5 linked regions of the Macaca fascicularis genome follow. The protein of the gene in region 1 interacts with the protein of each later gene in a biochemical or structural test. Links are inferred from orthologs where the notes say so. Each region holds a gene or a part of one and is shown in the gene's direction. Other genes may lie near its edges.

Region 1 (3,598 bases):
CTCTACGCCCGGGACAAGTGGCTGGTGAGGCCCCAGCAGACGGGTGCAGCTCGCATGGGCTGGGGGCCAAAAGCACTCAATTTTTCCCACAGACGGGACTTACTATGGGGGTGTGGCTGCAAGGTGTTAGAAGGCCACAGCCCGAGCCAGGTGTGACAGACCCTGGTGGGAGATGGTGCGATGTGGGGGGGTTTGTAGGAACAGGAAAACTATAGCAGGGCACTAGACCAGGTTCTCCGGCCCCAGCAGGCCGCCCCGGGAGAGGTGAGGTGACCGAGAGCTGGATGAAGATGTGGAGGGGTGGCCAGGGCAGGTGTTCCCTTGCTGCATGTGGAGCAGCAGGGAGGCCCGTGTGGAAGGAGGGTCTAGAAGGGCAGCAGGAGGAGCAGTGGAGGTAAGGGGTGACAGGGCATGTGCAGATTTTGTGGGGCCTTATGGGACCCCGCGCGACTTTGCTTTTCCTCTCAGAGCAGCCAGGGAGGGTCTGAGGATCCCCAGAACCTCGAGGGACAGGAGCTGACTGAGGTGCCCCTGGGTGCCCTCTGGCGGCCGTGTGGGAAATAGACCAGGGGGTGAGGGGTGAGTGCCGCTGCGACATGAGGGTGGCTCAGACCAGGGCAGAAGGTCACATCTCGGGGGCAAGAGTCAGGGCAGCGTTGCCAGGCCCCACCCTTCATGCCTCGCCCTGCCCCTCTGCAGGCGCCCGATGGCCTCATCTTCCCAGACCGGGCCACGCTGTATGTGACGGCCATCGAGGACCGGCAGTACAAAGACTACAAGATCCACTGTGAGCGTGGCCCAGGAGCGGGCGGGCGGGGCCCCGGGTGGGCTGCCGCGGGCTCACCCCCTCCCTGCCTGCCTCCCCAGGGTGGGAGAACGTGTATGGCTTCGACATGTCTTGCATCAAAGATGTGGCCATCAAGGAGCCCCTAGTGGATGTGGTGGACCCCAAACAGCTGGTCACCAATGCCTGCCTCATAAAGGTGAGGGGGGGGGGTGGGCATGGCCAGGTGCCCCCTGGGTTGAAACCAAAGAGAGGCCATCACCTGGCCCTGGCATGGGACTTTGGGGCCCAGAGTGTTGGCCTGAGGTCTCAGAGCCTGACCTGCCAGCCAGAGGTGGTGCTAGGGGCCCAGGAAAGACGTTTCATCCTTTAAACATCTTTGTGAGCGCTGCCGTGTGAGAACCACGTTTGGCACTTGGTGTCCGGCAGAGGACACACCCGCAGCTGGTAGCTAAAGCCCACAGCCCGTACACGGGAAGGCAGGACCTGGGGCGATGAGCGGGTGCACACGCTGCAGAAGAGCAGGGGGCCAGGCTGGGATCCGAGATGTGCCTGTGGTTGCAGCTACTCAGGAGGCTGAGGCGGGAGGATCTCTTGGGCCTGGGAGTTCAAGGCTGCAGTGAGCTGTGATCACATCCCTGCACTCCAGCCTTGGTGACAGTGTTTTGTTTTGTTTTTAACTTTTTTTAACTTCTGAGACCCTGTTTATTTATTTATTTATTTTTTCTTTTTTTTTTGAGACGGAGTCTTGCTCTGTCGCCCAGGCTGGAGCGCAGTGGCCGGATCTCAGCTCACTGCAAGCTCCGCCTCCCGGGTTTATGCCATTCTCCTACCTCAGCCTCCCGAGTAGCTGGGACTACAGACTCCCGCCAACCCGCCTGGCTAGTTTTTTTTTTTTTTTTTTTTTGCATTTTTTAGTAGAGACGGGGTTTCACTGTGTTAGCCAGGATGGTCTCGATCTCCTGACCTTGTGATCCGCCCGTCTCGGCCTCCCAAAGTGCTGGGATTACAGGCTTGAGCCACCGCGCCCGGCCGACCCTGTTTAAAAAAAAAAAAATAAGGCAACGAGTATTTGTTGAGCTGGGATGTGTGAGCCGGGTGAAGCTGGGTGGTTGGCCGGGGGTTCCTGTGGGGAGGAGGAAGCTGTTGAGTGGGAATGGAGAGGAGACTGGAGGGGCAGGGACCCCACCCAGGCCACCCTCCTGAGAACCAGCGGAACTGGTGCAGGGTTTTCGGTTGGATTGCCGTTTGAAGCCATCATGCTGGTGGACTTGTGAAGGGTTGGGGAGAGTGGGGAGCGCGGAGAGGGGGGAGCGCGGAGAGGGGGGAGCGCGGAGAGGGTGGAGTGCGGAGAGGGGGAGCGCGGCCCGGAGAGCGCGGAGAGCGGGGAGCGCGGAGAGGGGGGAGCGCGGAGAGGGGGGAGCAGGGTGCCTGCATTCCCAGGAGGTCTGGCCAGGTGGGGTCGGGGCGGGGTGGGCTCTGGACAGAGTTAGGGTGGCGGCGCCAGGTTTGGGTGCGGGAGAGAAGGGAGCAAAGAATCTGGGCTCAAACCGAGGCGGTTTATTGGGAGCCGGACAGTCAGGATGAGGAGTGAATGAGGAGCTGAGGCTGGGTGCCAGTAAGGGAGGGCCAGCGGGAAGGGGACAGTGAGGTCACAGGCCCTCTGGGAGCTTGAGGGAGGGAGGAGGGGATGAAGCGAGGTGGGGACACATCCCGGAGCTCACCCTCTCCTGTCCTGCAGGAGGTGGACATCTACACCGTCAAGGTGGAAGACCTGACGTTCACCTCCCCGTTCTGCCTGCAAGTGAAGCGGAATGACTACGTGCACGCCCTGGTGGCCTACTTCAACATCGAGTTCACGCGCTGCCACAAGAGGACGGGCTTCTCCACCAGTGAGGCGGGGCCCGCAGGGCTGGGGGCTGCTCCTGAGCCAGGGCCGAGGGGCACCCACATAGTGGAGGGGGTGACAGAAACGGGCAGAGGGAGCCATGGGGACATGTGTGTTCCAGCGTGAGCTCTGCCATGTAGCAGTCACGTGGCCTTGAGCAAGTGATCTGAGTGTGCAGTGCCTCAGTTTCCTCATCCACAAAAGCCTGACACGGTCCCTGTCTCCAAAGCTGAATGACAGGGAGGTGACTCACGGACAGCAGTCCCGTCAGCTGTCAGGGGGGTGGACATTCCAACAGAGGGAACACAAGACTGGGGCCAGGGCAGCAGGCCAAGGCCAGCTGACCCGCCTGCGCCCCCAGGCCCTGAGTCCCCGTACACGCACTGGAAGCAGACAGTGTTCTACATGGAGGACTACCTGACCGTGAAGACGGGCGAGGAGATCTTCGGCACCATCGGCATGCGGCCCAATGCCAAGAACAACGTGAGGCTCTGGGCAGCTGGGCAGGAGGGTGGCAGCCGGGGTGGGGAGCATGGATAGGGGCAGTGGTAGGGGGGAATGGTGGCAGCGTAGGGGATGGGGGTAGCTGGGGCGGATGGGGGCAGCTGGCAGGGGCGAGTGCCTCTGCCTGTTCCCGGGTCCCTGAGCCCCTCAGCCCCACGCCTGTCTACACAGCAGATTTCTTAGCATTTACTGGAAGATGGGCCTGGGGACCCAGGCCAAAGCCCTGTCCTCCTGGTGCTTCCAGTCTACACAAGGGGATCAGTGACATGGTGATGCCAGTGGGAGGTGACCTCTGTCAGGCTGGGAGCAGGGCAGACAGGTGTTGGCGTGGGTGAGCTCCAGGGCAAGAGGCGGCCCCGGTAGAGCGCACAGGGTTTGCTAGCCCAGGTGGGAGGCATGAGAGGAGGAGAAAGGCAGCTTTT
Region 2 (4,282 bases), on another chromosome or scaffold:
GAGTGACTGGGAAATGATGGTATGGCTGACAGAAATGGAGATCAAGAGGGAGCTAGCTTTGGAGAAGACAATGGGCTTCCGCTCACATTGAGGTGGTGGCTGGACATCTGAGGGAGAGGACAGAGCTGGTGGGAACAGAAGCAGGATGGAAAGACAGGAGGACAGACTGTGCAGATGAGAAAAGTCACTGTAAAACAGTAAACATCAAGGCAGACTACATGCATAGGACCTCTCCAAGGAAAGGCAGCCTAGAGAAAAGGGAGGAGGACTGAGGAGACATAGTGTGGGGAACGGGGCAGGAAGGGATCCAGGGCCAGCACAGCCAGGCAGTGGGGTGGAGAAGCCTGGGGCATAAGGAAAAAGGACAGGGACACTGCTTCCAGAAGGTGGTCAGAGGGCTCAGAGTTCAAGGAAAATAGGAATTTACAGAGGCCATTGGGTTTGAGTCACCTTACAAACACTGGGCATCTGTATGCCAGACCCTGGGCCAGGCTTCGGGGTGTTGGGTAGAAGTTATCCCCATTCGGAAGGCATCCACCGAGTACCTGTGATGGTGGCGGTCCCTGAGTGTGGAAGAGGGAGACTGAGGCCGGATTCTTTCTCGAGAAGGTCCAATCCACAATAAGGAAGGAAGACGGCTGGGGAAGGAGGGAGTGGACGGAAAAATATGTACAGTTGAGAGCAGACTACTAATTCAAAAAAATTAGCACTTAAGGAAAGTGAGAACTAGAAAAATAAGTTAAGAAGACAAAAGTCTTGCAACACACCCCCTACCCCTATCCACCATAAAACTTAGACTTGAATGTTTCTCAGCAAGAGAAAAGGCATTGCTGCAGAACGGAACTTGTTGTGGGAGGTGGGATTACTACGGAAATAAGCAGAAGACAGCCTCCCTTTCCAAAGAGCCAAGAGGAACCCATTTCATCTAGTTAAGAGACGAGGCAAAGAGGTAAAATGGTGACAACACGTCCTGGTGAGTGGTTCTGACCGTGTATGGTTGGAAAATGCTGTGGGAATCCGAAAGGGGAACCACCTGGGAACGGTTCTGGGAAGCCTTCTGGTGGTGTCACCGAAGGCTTCTCGGAGGAGGTGGCCTCTAACCCGAGCCTTAAAAATGGGAGGAGAGGCGAGGCCGGGGCCTGCCCGGCGCGGAGTACTCGGGAGCCTCCTCCCCGAGCCTCGCTTTCTCCTCTCGTCTCGCTCAGCTCAGCCGGGCGCAGGTTCCTAGCACTGACGTCAGCGAGCGATGACCTCAGCGCCGCCAAGGCTGCGAGGGCGGGGGCTGGGGTGGCGGGGGCGGGGAAGAGCGCCGGAGCGCGGGGCGGGGCGGGGCGGGCCCGAGCCCCGCCCCCATCCGTTGGCCGCGGCCAATGAGCGCCGCCACCGGTTGTCCCCACCTCCCTGGACCTCCTGAAAAAGGGGGCCCGGGGAAAGTCCGGGCAGAGCCCGAGCAGCGGCCAGGGCAGCGCTGGCTTGTGGACCCGTACTTCCCACCCGAGACCTCTCACTGAGCCCGAGCCGCGCGCGACATGAGCCACGGGAAGGGAACCGACATGCTCCCGGAGATCGCCGCCGCCGTAGGCTTCCTCTCCAGCCTCCTGAGGACCCGGGGCTGCGTGAGCGAGCAGCGGCTTAAGGTCTTCAGCGGGGCGCTCCAGGAGGCACTCACAGGTGAGCGCGTGCCGAGGGGCCTGGCGCCACCGGGGGTCGGCCCCCTTCCTGCCAGGGCCGTCTTTCCTTTACTCCTGCGGCAGGGTCACCCACAGGAGCAGCTTTGGGACTCGGTGGCCCTCCTCCGACCCCCGGGGCGGCCCGCAGTCCCCAGTTTCCTGGGTCTTCCTCCCCAACCCTGTGCTCGGGTCTCGGCCCGTGGCTGTTCTGATGGGGCGCGCCCCTCCACGCTCTCGGAGGCGCAAACCCTGGTCCTGGAGTGCCAGCCCGAGTCCCCAGCTTATGTCCCGGTCTCATTACGGGCTCGTCTCCCTCGCTGGACCCTCGAGATCTTAAGACCCTCGATGGATGTTGTTGCGGGCCGCCCGGTCGGCCGAGGGGTCCCGATGAGGGAAGAAGGTGCAGTCGAGCCTTTTCAACAACTCGGAGTCCCAGTGCCGTTCTTCCTGCCGGTCGGGGTGCGCTGTGCCTGGGGCAGTCCACTGGTTGCTGACTCGCTTCAAGTTGGAATTTGGGCCCCCTTTGTGTTCTCTTTGGTTCCCCTTAGCCATCTGCCACCTATTGTGGTAGGGAGGAGAGCCTGGTAGCTGGTGACCCTGCCCTGCTGGCCTTCGAGTTGGGAGGTGAAGAGATAAGCAGCCCGCTCGCTGGCTGGGGAGAGACCTCTCTCCCAGCTGTTTCTAGCTGGTTGCTGTCAGTTTGGGGAAGCGATAGCCATCTCGGAACGCACCCACACAGACCCTGCCTTCTGAGAAAAACAGATGTTTCATCAAAACAACCCAGTTTTCACTCCCTTGGGCACTGCTAAGGAAGGTTCCCTGACTCTTCTGAAGGAAGCAGAGGGAACACAGGGTGGGAGGCCCAATTACTTGCTGTGGACCCAACAATGTTGGCAGCCTTCCTGGCCCTGAAACTTCAGCTCACAGGTCTCCAGAGGCCCTGCCTGGACATGCCAGCCCCAGTCACACCCTTCCCTCCTGAAACTGGGGGTGTGCCAAAAGCAATACACTGGCCACTGGAGAGTACCCCAGAGCTCTGGAATCCCCTCCCAACATACACACACACACACACACACACACACACGTTCTGGAAGCAGGAAAGCAGATCTCTCCCGCTTCCATAAAATTTTCTCTGCTAAGTGGCAAGAGGGTCCTGGAACTCAGAGGAATCCACCTCCCTTACTTAAAGGGCCCCTTCCTCTCCTGTTCCTTGACCCTCCTCCCTGCTCTGTGGTAGTATCCATGGCCCAGCTGCTCTAACCAGGGCATCTCCCCCCGTCCTGTCTCCACAGAGCACTACAAACACCACTGGTTTCCTGAAAAGCCGTCCAAGGGCTCGGGCTACCGCTGCATTCGCATCAACCACAAGATGGACCCCATCATCAGCAGGGTGGCCAGCCAGATCGGACTCAGCCAGCCCCAGCTGCACCAGCTGCTGCCCAGCGAGCTGACCCTGTGGGTGGACCCCTATGAGGTGTCCTACCGCATTGGGGAGGACGGCTCCATCTGCGTCTTGTACGAGGAGGCCCCAGTGGCCGCCTCCTGTGGGCTCCTCACCTGCAAGAACCAAGTGCTGCTGGGCCGGAGCAGCCCCTCCAAGAACTACGTGATGGCGGTCTCCAGCTAGACCCCTCCGCCCCCGCCCTGGGCGCCGCCGTGCTCATGCTGCCGTGACAACAGGCCACCACATACCTCAACCTGGGGAACTGTATTTTTAAATGAAGAGCTATTTATATATATATTATTTTTTTTTTTTAAGAAAAGAGGAGGAAAAAAACCAAAAGATTTTTTTTAAGAAAAAAAATCCTTCAAGGGAGCTGCTTGGAAGTGGCCTCCCCAGGTGCCTTTGGAGAGAACTGTTGTGTGTGCTTGAGTCTGTGAGCCAGTGTCTGCCTATAGGAGGGGGAGCTGTTAGGGGGTAGACCTAGCCAAGGTGAAGTGGGAGACGTTTGGCTAGCGCCCCAGGAAGATGGGAGAGGGAGCGAGCAAGATTAGCAACTGTGAACAGAGAGGTTGGGATTTGCCCTGGGGGAGGAAGAGAGGCCAAGTTCAGAACTCTCTGTCTCCCCCAGCCAGACACCTGCATCCCTGGCTCCTCTATTACTCAGGGGCATTCATGCCTAGACTTAAATAATACTATGTTATCTTTTTTTTTTCCTTTTTCTTTTTAATTATACTTTATATTTCTTTTAATTTTCTAATGAGGTCCTGGGCAGAGAGTGAAAAGGCCTCTCCTGATTCCTACTGTCCTAAGCAGCTTTTCTTGAAATCATGACTTGTTTCTAATTCTACCCTCAGGGGCCTATAGATGTTGCTCTCCAGCCAGGAATCTAAAGCTTTGGGGGTTTTTGTTTTGTTTTGTTTTGTTTCTGAGGGGGGAGGAGGGAACTGGAAGTTACTGGGGTTAGGATGGGAGGGAACTCTGCACAAAACCTTTGCTTTGCTAGTGCTGCTTTGTGTGTATGTGTGGCAAATAATTTGGGGGTGATTTGCAATGGAATTTTGGGACCCAAAGAGTATCCACTGGGGATGTTTTTTGGCCAAACTCTTCTTTTTGGAACCACATGGAAGTCTTGTTGCTGCTGCCATGATCCCTTTGAGAGGTGGCTCAA
Region 3 (3,598 bases), on another chromosome or scaffold:
TAAAGTTGAATACTGTGCTGTTGCAGATGCTGTGTTCCAACTCTGCTTTGATTTTCTGTTGGTAGGTCAGAAGCGGACTCCTAGAAGAGGGGAGCAGCAAGGATGGAATGACAGCCGTGGGCCAGAGGGGATGCTTGAAAGAGCTGAGCGGAGACCCTACAGGGAGTACCGACCCTATGAGACCGAGAGGCAGGCGGACTTCACAGCTGAGAAGTTTCCAGATGAAAAGTACGTGCTGCAGTCCTCGGCAGGGCGGGTGGGGAACCAGAAAGGTGTTTAGAAAATGCTACTTTCTTTTTTTTTTTTTTTTTTCTGAGACAGAGTTTCACCCTTGTCACCTAGGCTGAAGTGCAATGGCGCAATCTCTGCTCACTGCAACGTCTGCTCCCAGGTTCAAGCAATTCTCCTGCCTCAGCCTCCTGAGTAGCTGGGATTACAGGCGCCCACCACCATGCCTGGCTAATTTTGTATTTTTAGTAGAGATGGGGTTTCTCCATATTGGTCAGGCTGGTCTTGAACTCCTAACCTCAGGTTCCGCCCGCCTTGGCCTTCCAAAGTGGTGGGATTACAGGAGTGGGCCACCATGCCTGGTCCAGAAAATGCTACTTTCTACTGGCTACTGCTTTTTGTGTTATCAGTCCTGGGAATGTTTTACTAATTTATGTGCAATTCATATTACCTTAGATGATGCGAAGGATCTTCCTTTTTCCTTTACGCCTTGGTTCAGGAAATGATTTTACAATTAACAATGAATTGCTTATTGGTAACTGAAGAGCACTCTTAAAAAGAAATTACACAGGAGGGTGTTGAACTGGTAAAGTTTTGTTTTGAAGTTGTAGATTAGAGACACAATTTTGGGCTAGGGATATAATTATGGTTTTTGATTTCGCATTACCAATTTCGACTGCTCAATGGATTGAAGTCAGTTCCTAGCTCCACGGTCAGGTCAGTAGGCTGCCACGGTGAAATTTGAAGAAGACTCTGTTGTGATGTGTAATACCAGTTTCTGGCAGGCATGGCTGCTCTCGGAAGTCCCCTAACACGGATGGAAGTCGTGGGCTGGTGGAGTGTTGCATGGCTGCTGAGTGATGCGGCAGTGTGGTGGCCGCCGCACTCCACCTGAACAACAGAGCTGTGTCTTATGCTTGGCACTAGCAGGGTGGGTACTTGCTGCTTAAAGCCTTTGTTTAATCTTTTTTTTTTTTTTTTTGACACGGAGTCTCCCTCTGCCGCCCAGGCTGGAGTGCAGTGGCCGGATCTCAGCTCACTGCAAGCTCCGCCTCCCGGGTTCACGCCATTCTCCTGCCTCAGCCTCCCGAGTAGCTGGGACTACAGGCGCCCGCCACCTCGCCCGGCTAGTTTTTTGTATTTTTTAGTAGAGACGGAGTTTCACCGGGTTAGCCAGGATGGTCTCGATCTCCTGACCTCATGATCCGCCCGTCTCGGCCTCCCAAAGTGCTGGGATTACAGGCTTGAGCCACCGCGCCCGGCCTGTTTAATCATTTAACCTGTTTATGTTAAACAGAAACAACTAGTGAATCACATTTCAAGGAAAATTAAACAGGCTAAGGAAGGCTAGAATAGTGAACAGTGAAATGTCAAGGGAGCCATTTTTCCAAACTCTGCTTCTTGACTGCTAATTCCATTCCATTTAGGATTGTGGCTACAAGTTTTAACCAAAACATGTGGCTTTGTAAAACTATACTACAGGGCCTATTACAAACAAAACAAAACAACAGTCCAGCAGAGAGTAACTTAGCCTGGGTGGGCTGAGCAGGTGATGACTCACGCAGAACTGTTCACCTAGAAGTTACACATTCAAGACATTGAGATGGTCTGTCTGCAACCATGTTGGAGGGAGAAACTTACAGAAGGGCTTAATTTTGCCCCTTTTTTGGTGATTACTTCAGATCTGCTGTGTAGTAAGCACAGTCTACTTGCTTCTGCAAAGCTTCCGGGAGCAGAGCTGCTGATTTTCGGAAGCATTTGGGTATTTATTTTCCCCTCACTTCAGGGATTCTGTGGAAACGAAGAAATTATAGTTGACTTGCACAAACCCATGTTTCCCCCCTTTTTTCGTAGCAAGACTATGTAGTCTTTAAAAAGGATAAAATAGATCTTTATATGTGACATGAAAAGATAGCTATTAAGTGAAATAATACGTATATGGAAGAGTAAGGTGGGATATGGAATTATGGAGGGTTTTTTTTTTATTTAAATAAATTCAGAATTACAGAAGAGTTTTAAGAATTATACAAAGAATTTCCATCTGCCCTTCAAGACTCCCCACACACTATTTACCACATTTCCTTTATCATCCATGCCCCACCGCACCACACAGCCTTTTCTTGTCATTTGAGAATACGGTGTAGGAATGTCCCCTTACTCCTAAATACTTTAAACGCATTTTCTAACAACATGATACAATTTTCAAACTCATTAAAATGAATACAATACTGTTATCTAATTGTCTAAATTACTAGTCTACAGACTTTACTCAGATTTCACCAATTGTCCCAGTGATGTGTTTTAACACAAGAGAAAACATTTCTGGTTCAGGATCCACTCCAGTAAATGCGTCGTATTTAGTCATCTTTAATTAGGAGCAGCTCCTTAGCCTTCCTTGGTCTTTATGAATTTGGCATTTTGAAGAGCATGGGCCAGTTATTTTATAACATGTTTCAGATTTTGAGTTTTTCTGATGTCTCCTCATGGAACGAGATTGCGCACTTTTGGCAGGAATGCCACAGAAGTAACGTGTTCTCAGTGCGTCACAGTACAGATATGTAGGGAATTTTCATTTTCGAGGAAATTTGAATCTTGATATCAGAAAACATTTTCTTAGTTTCTTTTTTTTTTTTTTTTTTTTTGAGACGGAGTCTCACGCTGTGGCCCAGGCTGGAGTGCAGTGGCGCGATCTTGGCTCACTGCAAGCTCCGCCTCCCGGGTTCCCGCCATTCTCCTGCCTCAGCCTCCTGAGTAGCTGGGACTACAGGCGCCCGCCACCGCGCCCGGCTAATTTTTTGTATTTTTTTTAGTAGAGACGGCGTTTCACTGTGGTCTCGATCTCCTGACCTTGTGATCCGCCCGCCTCGGCCTCCCAAAGTGCTGGGATTACAGGCTTGAGCCACCGCGCCCAGCCTAGTTTCTTAAATAATACTCTTTTTTTTTTTTTTTTTTTTTGAGACGGAGTCTCGCTCTGTCACCCAGGCTGGAGTGCGGTGGCCGGATCTCAGCTCACTGCAAGCTCCACCTCCCGGGTTTACGCCATTCTCCTGTCTCAGCCTCGCGAGTAGCTGGGACTACAGGCGCCCGCCACCTCGCCCGGCTAGTTTTTTTTGTAGTTTTTAGTAGAGACGGGGTTTCACCGTGTTAGCCAGGATGGTCTCGATCTCCTGACCTCGTGATCCGCCCGTCTCGGCCTCCCAAAGTGCTGGGATTACAGGCGTGAGCCACCGCGCCCGGCCCTAAATAATACTCTTAATAAATAAAACATAGAAAGTTTTATGTCTGACAAACTCACAAGCAAAAGAAGGAAAATAACATTCGGGCCAAGCATCCTGCTTTATACAAAAACCCTGTGATTCACTGTCTTACA
Region 4 (3,598 bases), on another chromosome or scaffold:
GAAAGGGGAGCTGGATATACTAAAACTTAGTCTAAAGCAGACAAAAGACACTAAAAGGCAAACAGCACACCCCCTTTTTTGTAACCTGGAAAAGTGAGAACAATAGTGTTGTGAGAGCAGAAGAGTTTGAGGATTAGTTGGTTTGTTTTATAGCCGGCTGGAATGTGAGGCTCACTAAAAGAATGTATTCCAAAAGGAGCCATGAGTAATCCTGACTACAGAATCTAATGAGTCTTTTCCCATGCCATAGCCGCATATACTGTGTACTCTGTGACAAGAAACTTCTCACCAAAACAGAATGGTCTTAGCCTTCTGGGGTCACTTTATTTGATGAGATATGCCTGCTACAGTCCGAAAACCTATTCTTTCAATCCTCCTTTTATGTAGCCTAATGGACACGTGTTTGTTTTCTCAGGTCATTTCTTACTAGATGCATATAGTTAGGGCTGAAGTGTGTTGTTCTAGCTAATGAGATTTACATGAGCTTTTCTTCTCTCTGTCCTGACTTCTTTCTTCCCCTAGCACTCCCTAGACCATATAAGCAGATAAGCAGAGCTCGTGGTGATTAACAGCTCTACCTGAGATTTAAAAACAAATGCTTGGCACACAGCTATTATCTGAATAGAGACTAGAATTAAGTTTTTCTTCTTTATGCTTTTAGTAAGAGCTCCAGTGGATATCTCAGGGATTTAAGATGACAATTAACTGTTAGCAGCAGACCATGTGCAAGTTTAGCAGGCTGTGCAAATTACTGTTCTTCAGAGCTTGTTTCACTTTTTTTTTTTTCTTGAGACGGAGCCTTGCTCTTGCCCAGGCTGGAGTGCAGTGGCGCAACCTCCAACTCCCGGGTTCAAGCGATTCTCCTGCCTCAGCCTCCTGAGTAGCTGGGATTACAGGCAAGCACCACCATGCCCGGCTAATTTTTGTATTTTTAGTAGAGGTGAGGCTTCATCACGTTGGTCAGGCTGGTCTGGAACTCCTGACCTAGTGATCCGCCCACCTCGGCCTCCCAAAGTGCTGGGATTACAGGCATGAGCCACCATGCCTGGCTGCTTGTTTTACTTTCTTAAACTTTACTGTTTTTCTTTCTTTTTTTTTTTTTTTAATTCTTCTCAGCTCATACCAATTAAACTTTACTGTTAGTTTAATTAGACATTGGGGATATTTCTTGCTGTTCCTTTGGCTTAGAGGTAAAGGTGTTGTTTTCTCCCTAGTCCATGTGGTGTGACGTTTCTCTGCATTTTTCCATAGGAGGAAGAGCTGCGCAAAGGTGGAGACCCCAAATATGCCCACTTGAATATGGATCTGCATGTCTTCATTGAAGTCTTTGGACCCCCATGTGAGGCTTATGCTCTTATGGCCCATGCCATGGAGGAAGTCAAGAAATTTCTAGTACCGGTAAGGAAATCCATATCCTGTGTCTTCTGAGCAAAAGAGAACTGGGATCTTATGCTGTTGTGAAGGTAGGGTTTCTTAACTAAGGTCTCTGCATAACCTGTATGTATACCAAATTCTGCATTTATGTTCATTTTCCTGCGGTAGTTCATTGCTTGTACCTAGTTCTCCAAGCATTATGCTCCAAGGCCACTCTGTCCCTCCTTGTCTAATGTGGTAGTCATTGTGTACCGGTATCTGTTGTCAGTATCTCGGGTCCACAATGTGCCTGCATTCTGATACTTGGTTAACTACGGTTTAACAGGGTCTTCACCTAGCTGAGTATTTTGGTAGTAGTGTGGAACAAGGAGATTGTATTAAGAAGGTGACTAAGGTGCGTCCCTGCACTCAAGAAGTTTATGCTGTAGAGAGTAGAGGCTAGCAGCAAGAAGCTTATAACATCTAGTGTTACTGAGTTAAATTCTGAGCACACTCAGGGATTTCTTTCCTGGAGGAGTTTGCTGAGGATGAGTTTGGTTTGGAAGAGGTTGACTGTTGATGTTTCACAGATTGGTGAGCAGCTTTTTTCAGACTATAACTGAGGACTAGATAGAGATAGGACAGGCCAGTTTATCTATCTTGCTTATTACTATCTTTAAATACTTGGTTGGAACGTTACTTTGAATAAATAGGAAATGGTACTGTTTTTGCCTTTTAGCAAGGCCAGGTGGTTGTCAGAGTTAACATACTACTGTTGAATATTTAATAACAAGGATGAATCTGGAAGCTTATGAAGGATTTGGAATATTATTCAACTAGAATTGAGTAAGTGTCATGTGTTCATCAGAAAACTGAGAGGTGGTAAGATACAGTCCTTGGTTTTCTTGAATGTTAAATGAGGGAGTTGGAACTAAATGTAGTGTCAGAGGATGTGAAAATTGATAGAGCAAAAATTTATAGGCAGTGTGGGCCGGACACGGTGGGTAACGCCTATAATCCCAACAATTTGGGAGGCCGAGGTGGGCAGATCACCTGAGGTCGAGAGTTCGAGACCAGCCTGACCAACGTGGTGAAACCCCGTCTCTACTAAAAATTAGCTGGGCGTGGTGGCGCCCAGCTACTCAGGAGGCTGAAGCAGGAGAATCGCTTGAACCCAGGAGGCAGAGGTTGCGGTAAGCCAAGATTGTGCCATTGGACTCCAGCCTGGGCAACAAGAGTAAAACTCCTTTTCCAAAGAAAATAAAAATTTCAGGCATTTTGTACCCGTAATGCTGAACTCCAAGGATGCCAACAGTCTCAAATGTCTTCGCAGCTGCTTTGCTTTCAAGTACCTCATCTTCATTAGAATGTTCGACGTGAAACAGACCATTTGACATATCCTAGAGAAAAACACAGCTGGTTAATCTTACTCAAGGGAATTCTTTTTACTCTTTTTGGGGTGTTCTATTGATCACCCAAGCATTCAATTTCCAAAGGACTGCAGAGGGAATACCCATCTTCTCTCTTTATTGTTAGTCTCCCTCATATTCCTCAGAAGGCTTAGGTTTATGAGGCTTCCATGTAAGTGAATCTTTTGAAAAAGATGCCTGCCGGGGAGATGGGGGTTTCCTCAGTGTTGCTGTGGTAGTTGGAGGAGTCTGAGGAATGGTCTGGCATTAGTTACTTGATTCTCCAAGGTGTGAGTCTCAAGCAGCAGTAATGTGTAAGGTAGGAGGAGCCAGACAATTGAGGGGGGCATCAAAGACTAGCATCATCTATGGAAACTGTATACATCTGGGATGTGTAAAAATGCATGAAGTATTAAGACTGAATGGCTCTCAACAGGAAGTGTGAAAAGATTTGCAAATGGCATTTGGCTTGATTTTTCCCTCTTGTGGAGGAAAAAAAAGTGAGATTATTTTTGCATCTGTGACCAGAGCCCTCCATTTTCCCCTTAGAATAATTAATTATACCAGTAATGCCTCACAGTGCAGTAGAAAGAGCACTGGACCATGTATATCTGTCTCTGTATGTCTTCCTGGACAGGTTATCATTTCATTTTTCTGAACTTCAGGTTTTTCATCCAAACATTTCTTAAATATCTGTCAGATGTCTGATACTATGCTTCGGTGTAAAGTTACAAAAATGGCTCCTGAAGAGCTTACAGTTTAGTGACAGACAATTCTAAAATGATGTGGTAAGTGCTTGCATGTAGGGAATTACGTGGTACTTTGAGAAAAGAGGA
Region 5 (3,598 bases), on another chromosome or scaffold:
AGTGCCTGTAGTCTCAGCTACTCGGGAGGCTGAGGCAGGAGAATGGCGTGAACCCAGGAGGCGGAGCTTGCAGTGAGCTGAGATAGCGCCACTTCTCTCCAGCCTGGGCAACAGAGTGAGACTCCGTCTCAAAAAAAAAAAAATTCTCCAGTCAGCAGAATTTTATCCCTGAGAAGCAGGAAGAAGGAAGTAATGATGATATAAAACTTATATAAAGTTTTAATGGCTCTCTTTTTTGAGTGATGACTATGTGCCATGCATGTATTAAGTGCTTTAATTTAATCCTCATACAGCTTTACTTTTATTCCTATTTCCAGATGAGGAAAGTGAGGCAAAGAGAGATTAAAAAATAATTTTTCCAAGCTTACATAGCCAGGATTTCAATCTAAGACAGTCTGACTCTAGGTCCTATACTCTAGTGGACTACGCTGTATACCCAGTGTGACAGTATTCTTTACTTGCTTGATCTATACTGGCGCTCTGTCTGGATAAGTGTCTTTATGATTAGCTGAACAAGGTTACTGGCTGTAGGTTTCTCTCATCTCTTTATTGATCTACAGGTGAGCATGTTAGGGAAAGGATTTGGTGATGTCGGTGAAGCTAAAGGCGGCAGTACTACGGGCTCCCAGTTCTTGGAGCAATTCAAGACTGCCCAAGCCCTGGCTCAGTTGGCAGCTCAGCATTCTCAGTCTGGAAGCACCACCACCTCCTCTTGGGACATGGGCTCAACGACACAATCCCCATCACTGGTGCAGTATGGTGAGAAGATGGAAAGTGACTTGAATCTTTAAAGCATTGGAGCATTACTGTCAAGAGGCTAGCAGGGGGAGGGGGTGGAGAATGTGTCCTGAAGTGAAGAAAAGGGGAAGCTAGTTGATTACCTTCCTACATGTATTTCCCCTAATCAAATAAGCTGAATTCAGAAAGTTGGGGAATAATAAAATTTGAGGCTATATATTTCTCATCAGATTTAGAGGCTGGGCATGGTAGCTTACACCTGTAATCTTAGCACTTTGGGAGGCTGAAGTGGGAGGACAGCCTGAGCCTAGGAAAAATCGTTTTCAATTAAATGAGCGTGGTGGTGTGCACCTGTGATCCCAGCTCCTAGGGAGGCTGAGGCAGGAGAATTGCCTGAGCCCAGGAGGTTGAGGTTGCAGTGAGCTGTGTTTGCACCACTGTACATTAGCCTGGGCTGCAGAGCTAGTGTGTAGCTAGCTTTTCTCAAAAAAAAAAAAAAAAATTTTAACCATATACATACTTGCAGTCTTCTGTTGATTGGGGTTTTAATTATTATTCTCCTTAGATTTATCTTCAGTGTTTGAAAATAACATATTGCCTTTAGGTTCATAGACTTCGCCATCTTAAGATTTTATACAGTAAGTCTTCACTTAATGTCATTGATAGGTTCTTGGAAACTGCGACTTTTTGCGAAACATAAGACAAGGTCTCGTTCTGTCATCCAGACCGGAGTACAGTGGCACTATCTTGGCTCACTGCAGCCTCATCTTCCTGGGCTCAAGCAGTCCTCCCACTTGAGCCTCCTGAGTAGCTGGGACCTCAGGCTTGTACCACCGTGCCTGGCTAATTTTTTATTTTTTCTGGAGATGGGTTTTCACCATGTTGCCCAGGTGTGTGTCGAACTCTTGGGCTCAAACAATCTGCTGGTCTTGGCCTCCCACAGTGATGGGATTGCAGGCACGAGCCACTGCGCCTGGCCATTTTTTTTTTTTCCCTCATCAACATTATAATGAAATCATGTTGAAGGAAACTGTTATTCAAAGATGTGCCATGCATTGTTTTTGCTTAAAGCCAGTTTCCAAGCACCTATGGATGATGTTAAATGAGAACTTGCGGTACTTTAAACTTGGACAATTTGTGCATTCCTTTCTTACACAGGCTGGGTAATGGTGTTGATTTAATTAGGCTTTATTTAAGGATGGATGTAGGCCAGGTGCGGCGGCTCATGCCTGTAATCCCAGCACTTTGAGAAGCCGAGGCGGATGGATCACTTGAGGTCAGGAGTTTGAGACCAGCCTGGCCAACGTGATGAAATCCCGTGTCTACCAAAAACACAAAAATTAGCCAGGCGTGGTGGCACGCACCTGTAGTCCCAGCTACTCTGAGGCAAGAGAATCGCTTGAACCCAGGAGGTGGATGTTGCAGTGAGCTGAGATTGCGCCATTGCATATTGCATTCCAGCCTGGGTGACAGAGCGAGACTCCATCTCAAAAAAAAAAAAAAAATGTAATCCAGTGATTGTCACCTATAGAAATGAGATTAAGCCCCGAAAGAGGGCCTGCTTATATGAGTTTCTGATTTTTACAGTCCTCATTCATGGTGCTAGTGCAGGATAATAGCATTTCCTTGAGATTCATCAGCATCTCTGGCTTCATATTCTGGGTTTCCTCTTGCAGATTTGAAGAACCCAAGTGATTCAACAGTGCACAGCCCCTTTACAAAGCGCCAGGCTTTTACCCCGTCTTCAACCATGATGGAGGTGTTCCTTCAGGAGAAGTCACCTGCAGTGGCTACCTCCACAGCTGCACCTCCACCTCCGTCTTCTCCTCTGCCAAGCAAATCCACGTCGGCTCCACAGATGTCGCCTGGATCTTCAGACAACCAGTCCTCTAGCCCTCAGCCAGCTCAGCAGAAACTGAAACAGCAGAAGAAAAAAGCCTCCTTGACTTCTAAGGTACTTAAACTTTTAGGTAGATAACATCTTATGGCAAGGGGTGTGGGGCTTGGAAATTGAGATTAAAAGGTAAGTTTAGAAATTTAAAGGGAAAGGTTTTTTTGGTCTTTAGTAAGGTTGTATTAAAGCCATTACTTTCTCTTCTCCTTCACCTTTCTCTATAGATTCCTGCTCTGGCTGTGGAGATGCCTGGCTCAGCAGATATCTCAGGGCTAAACCTGCAGTTTGGGGCATTGCAATTTGGGTCAGAGCCTGTCCTTTCTGATTATGAGTCCACCCCCACCACGAGCGCCTCTTCAAGCCAGGCTCCAAGTAGCCTGTATACCAGCACGGCCAGGTAGAGGAAACATTAGCCATAAGACCTCTCTTATTAACCTTTTACTACTTTTTTAATCTGCGGGTAATTTTTAGAACTCTGGAGAGGCCAAGCCTCTCTGCATGGCTGGGGGAAAATAGTCAATCATAGCACTTTGAGTGCTTTAAAATATTATTATTAGGGTTATCTATAACTAAACAGGTAGAAATATGCCCCCTAGGGGCTGGATGTGATGGCTCACACCTATAATCCCAGCACTTTGGGTGGCCAAGGCAGGAGGATTGCTTGAGGCCAGGAGTTCAAGACCAGCCTGGGCAATATAATGAGTCCCTGTCTCTACAAATTTTTTTTTTTTTTTTTTTTTTAAACACAGAGTGTCACTCTGTTGCCTAGGCTGGAGTGCAGTGGCACGATTTCGGCTCACTGCAACCTCCGCCATCCGGGTTCAAACGATTCTCCTGCCTCAGCCTCCCGAGTAGCTGGGATTACAGGTGCCCACCACCATAACCAGCAAATTTTTGTATTTTTTAGTAGAGATGGGGTTTTACCATGTTGGCCAGGCTGGTCTAGAACTCATGACCTCAAGCGAT

The links.
Region 2: the proteins of PRMT1 (region 1) and BTG2 form a complex in vitro, tested with the Homo sapiens proteins (2 studies listed by BioGRID). The link is inferred for Macaca fascicularis from reciprocal best matches to the Homo sapiens genes PRMT1 and BTG2.
Region 3: the proteins of PRMT1 (region 1) and HABP4 form a complex in vitro, tested with the Homo sapiens proteins (2 studies listed by BioGRID, with this or other methods). The link is inferred for Macaca fascicularis from reciprocal best matches to the Homo sapiens genes PRMT1 and HABP4.
Region 4: of the proteins of PRMT1 (region 1) and KHDRBS1, one has a biochemical effect on the other in vitro, tested with the Homo sapiens proteins (2 studies listed by BioGRID). The link is inferred for Macaca fascicularis from reciprocal best matches to the Homo sapiens genes PRMT1 and KHDRBS1.
Region 5: of the proteins of PRMT1 (region 1) and UBAP2L, one has a biochemical effect on the other in vitro, tested with the Homo sapiens proteins (2 studies listed by BioGRID, with this or other methods). The link is inferred for Macaca fascicularis from reciprocal best matches to the Homo sapiens genes PRMT1 and UBAP2L.

The regions. Positions count from the first base shown.
Region 1 is NC_088393.1:57,657,571-57,661,168, forward strand, and holds part of PRMT1 (protein arginine N-methyltransferase 1), read left to right. Parts: coding exon 1-24; intron 25-699; coding exon 700-787; intron 788-867; coding exon 868-983; intron 984-2,525; coding exon 2,526-2,676; intron 2,677-3,033; coding exon 3,034-3,155; intron 3,156-3,598. UniProt on the Homo sapiens protein: Arginine methyltransferase that methylates (mono and asymmetric dimethylation) the guanidino nitrogens of arginyl residues present in proteins such as ESR1, histone H2, H3 and H4, FMR1, ILF3, HNRNPA1, HNRNPD, NFATC2IP, SUPT5H, TAF15, EWS, HABP4, SERBP1, RBM15, FOXO1, CHTOP, MAP3K5/ASK1, MICU1 and NPRL2.
Region 2 is NC_088375.1:61,129,379-61,133,660, forward strand, and holds the start of BTG2 (protein BTG2), read left to right. Parts: upstream 1-1,441; 5' UTR 1,442-1,529; coding exon 1,530-1,671; intron 1,672-2,962; coding exon 2,963-3,297; 3' UTR 3,298-4,282. UniProt on the Homo sapiens protein: Anti-proliferative protein; the function is mediated by association with deadenylase subunits of the CCR4-NOT complex. Activates mRNA deadenylation in a CNOT6 and CNOT7-dependent manner. In vitro can inhibit deadenylase activity of CNOT7 and CNOT8.
Region 3 is NC_088389.1:126,607,886-126,611,483, reverse strand, and holds part of HABP4 (intracellular hyaluronan-binding protein 4), read left to right. Parts: intron 1-65; coding exon 66-228; intron 229-3,598. UniProt on the Homo sapiens protein: Ribosome-binding protein that promotes ribosome hibernation, a process during which ribosomes are stabilized in an inactive state and preserved from proteasomal degradation.
Region 4 is NC_088375.1:202,998,439-203,002,036, reverse strand, and holds part of KHDRBS1 (KH domain-containing, RNA-binding, signal transduction-associated protein 1), read left to right. Parts: intron 1-1,251; coding exon 1,252-1,398; intron 1,399-3,598. UniProt on the Homo sapiens protein: Recruited and tyrosine phosphorylated by several receptor systems, for example the T-cell, leptin and insulin receptors. Once phosphorylated, functions as an adapter protein in signal transduction cascades by binding to SH2 and SH3 domain-containing proteins.
Region 5 is NC_088375.1:106,904,492-106,908,089, reverse strand, and holds part of UBAP2L (ubiquitin-associated protein 2-like), read left to right. Parts: intron 1-560; coding exon 561-759; intron 760-2,414; coding exon 2,415-2,692; intron 2,693-2,856; coding exon 2,857-3,029; intron 3,030-3,598. UniProt on the Homo sapiens protein: Recruits the ubiquitination machinery to RNA polymerase II for polyubiquitination, removal and degradation, when the transcription-coupled nucleotide excision repair (TC-NER) machinery fails to resolve DNA damage.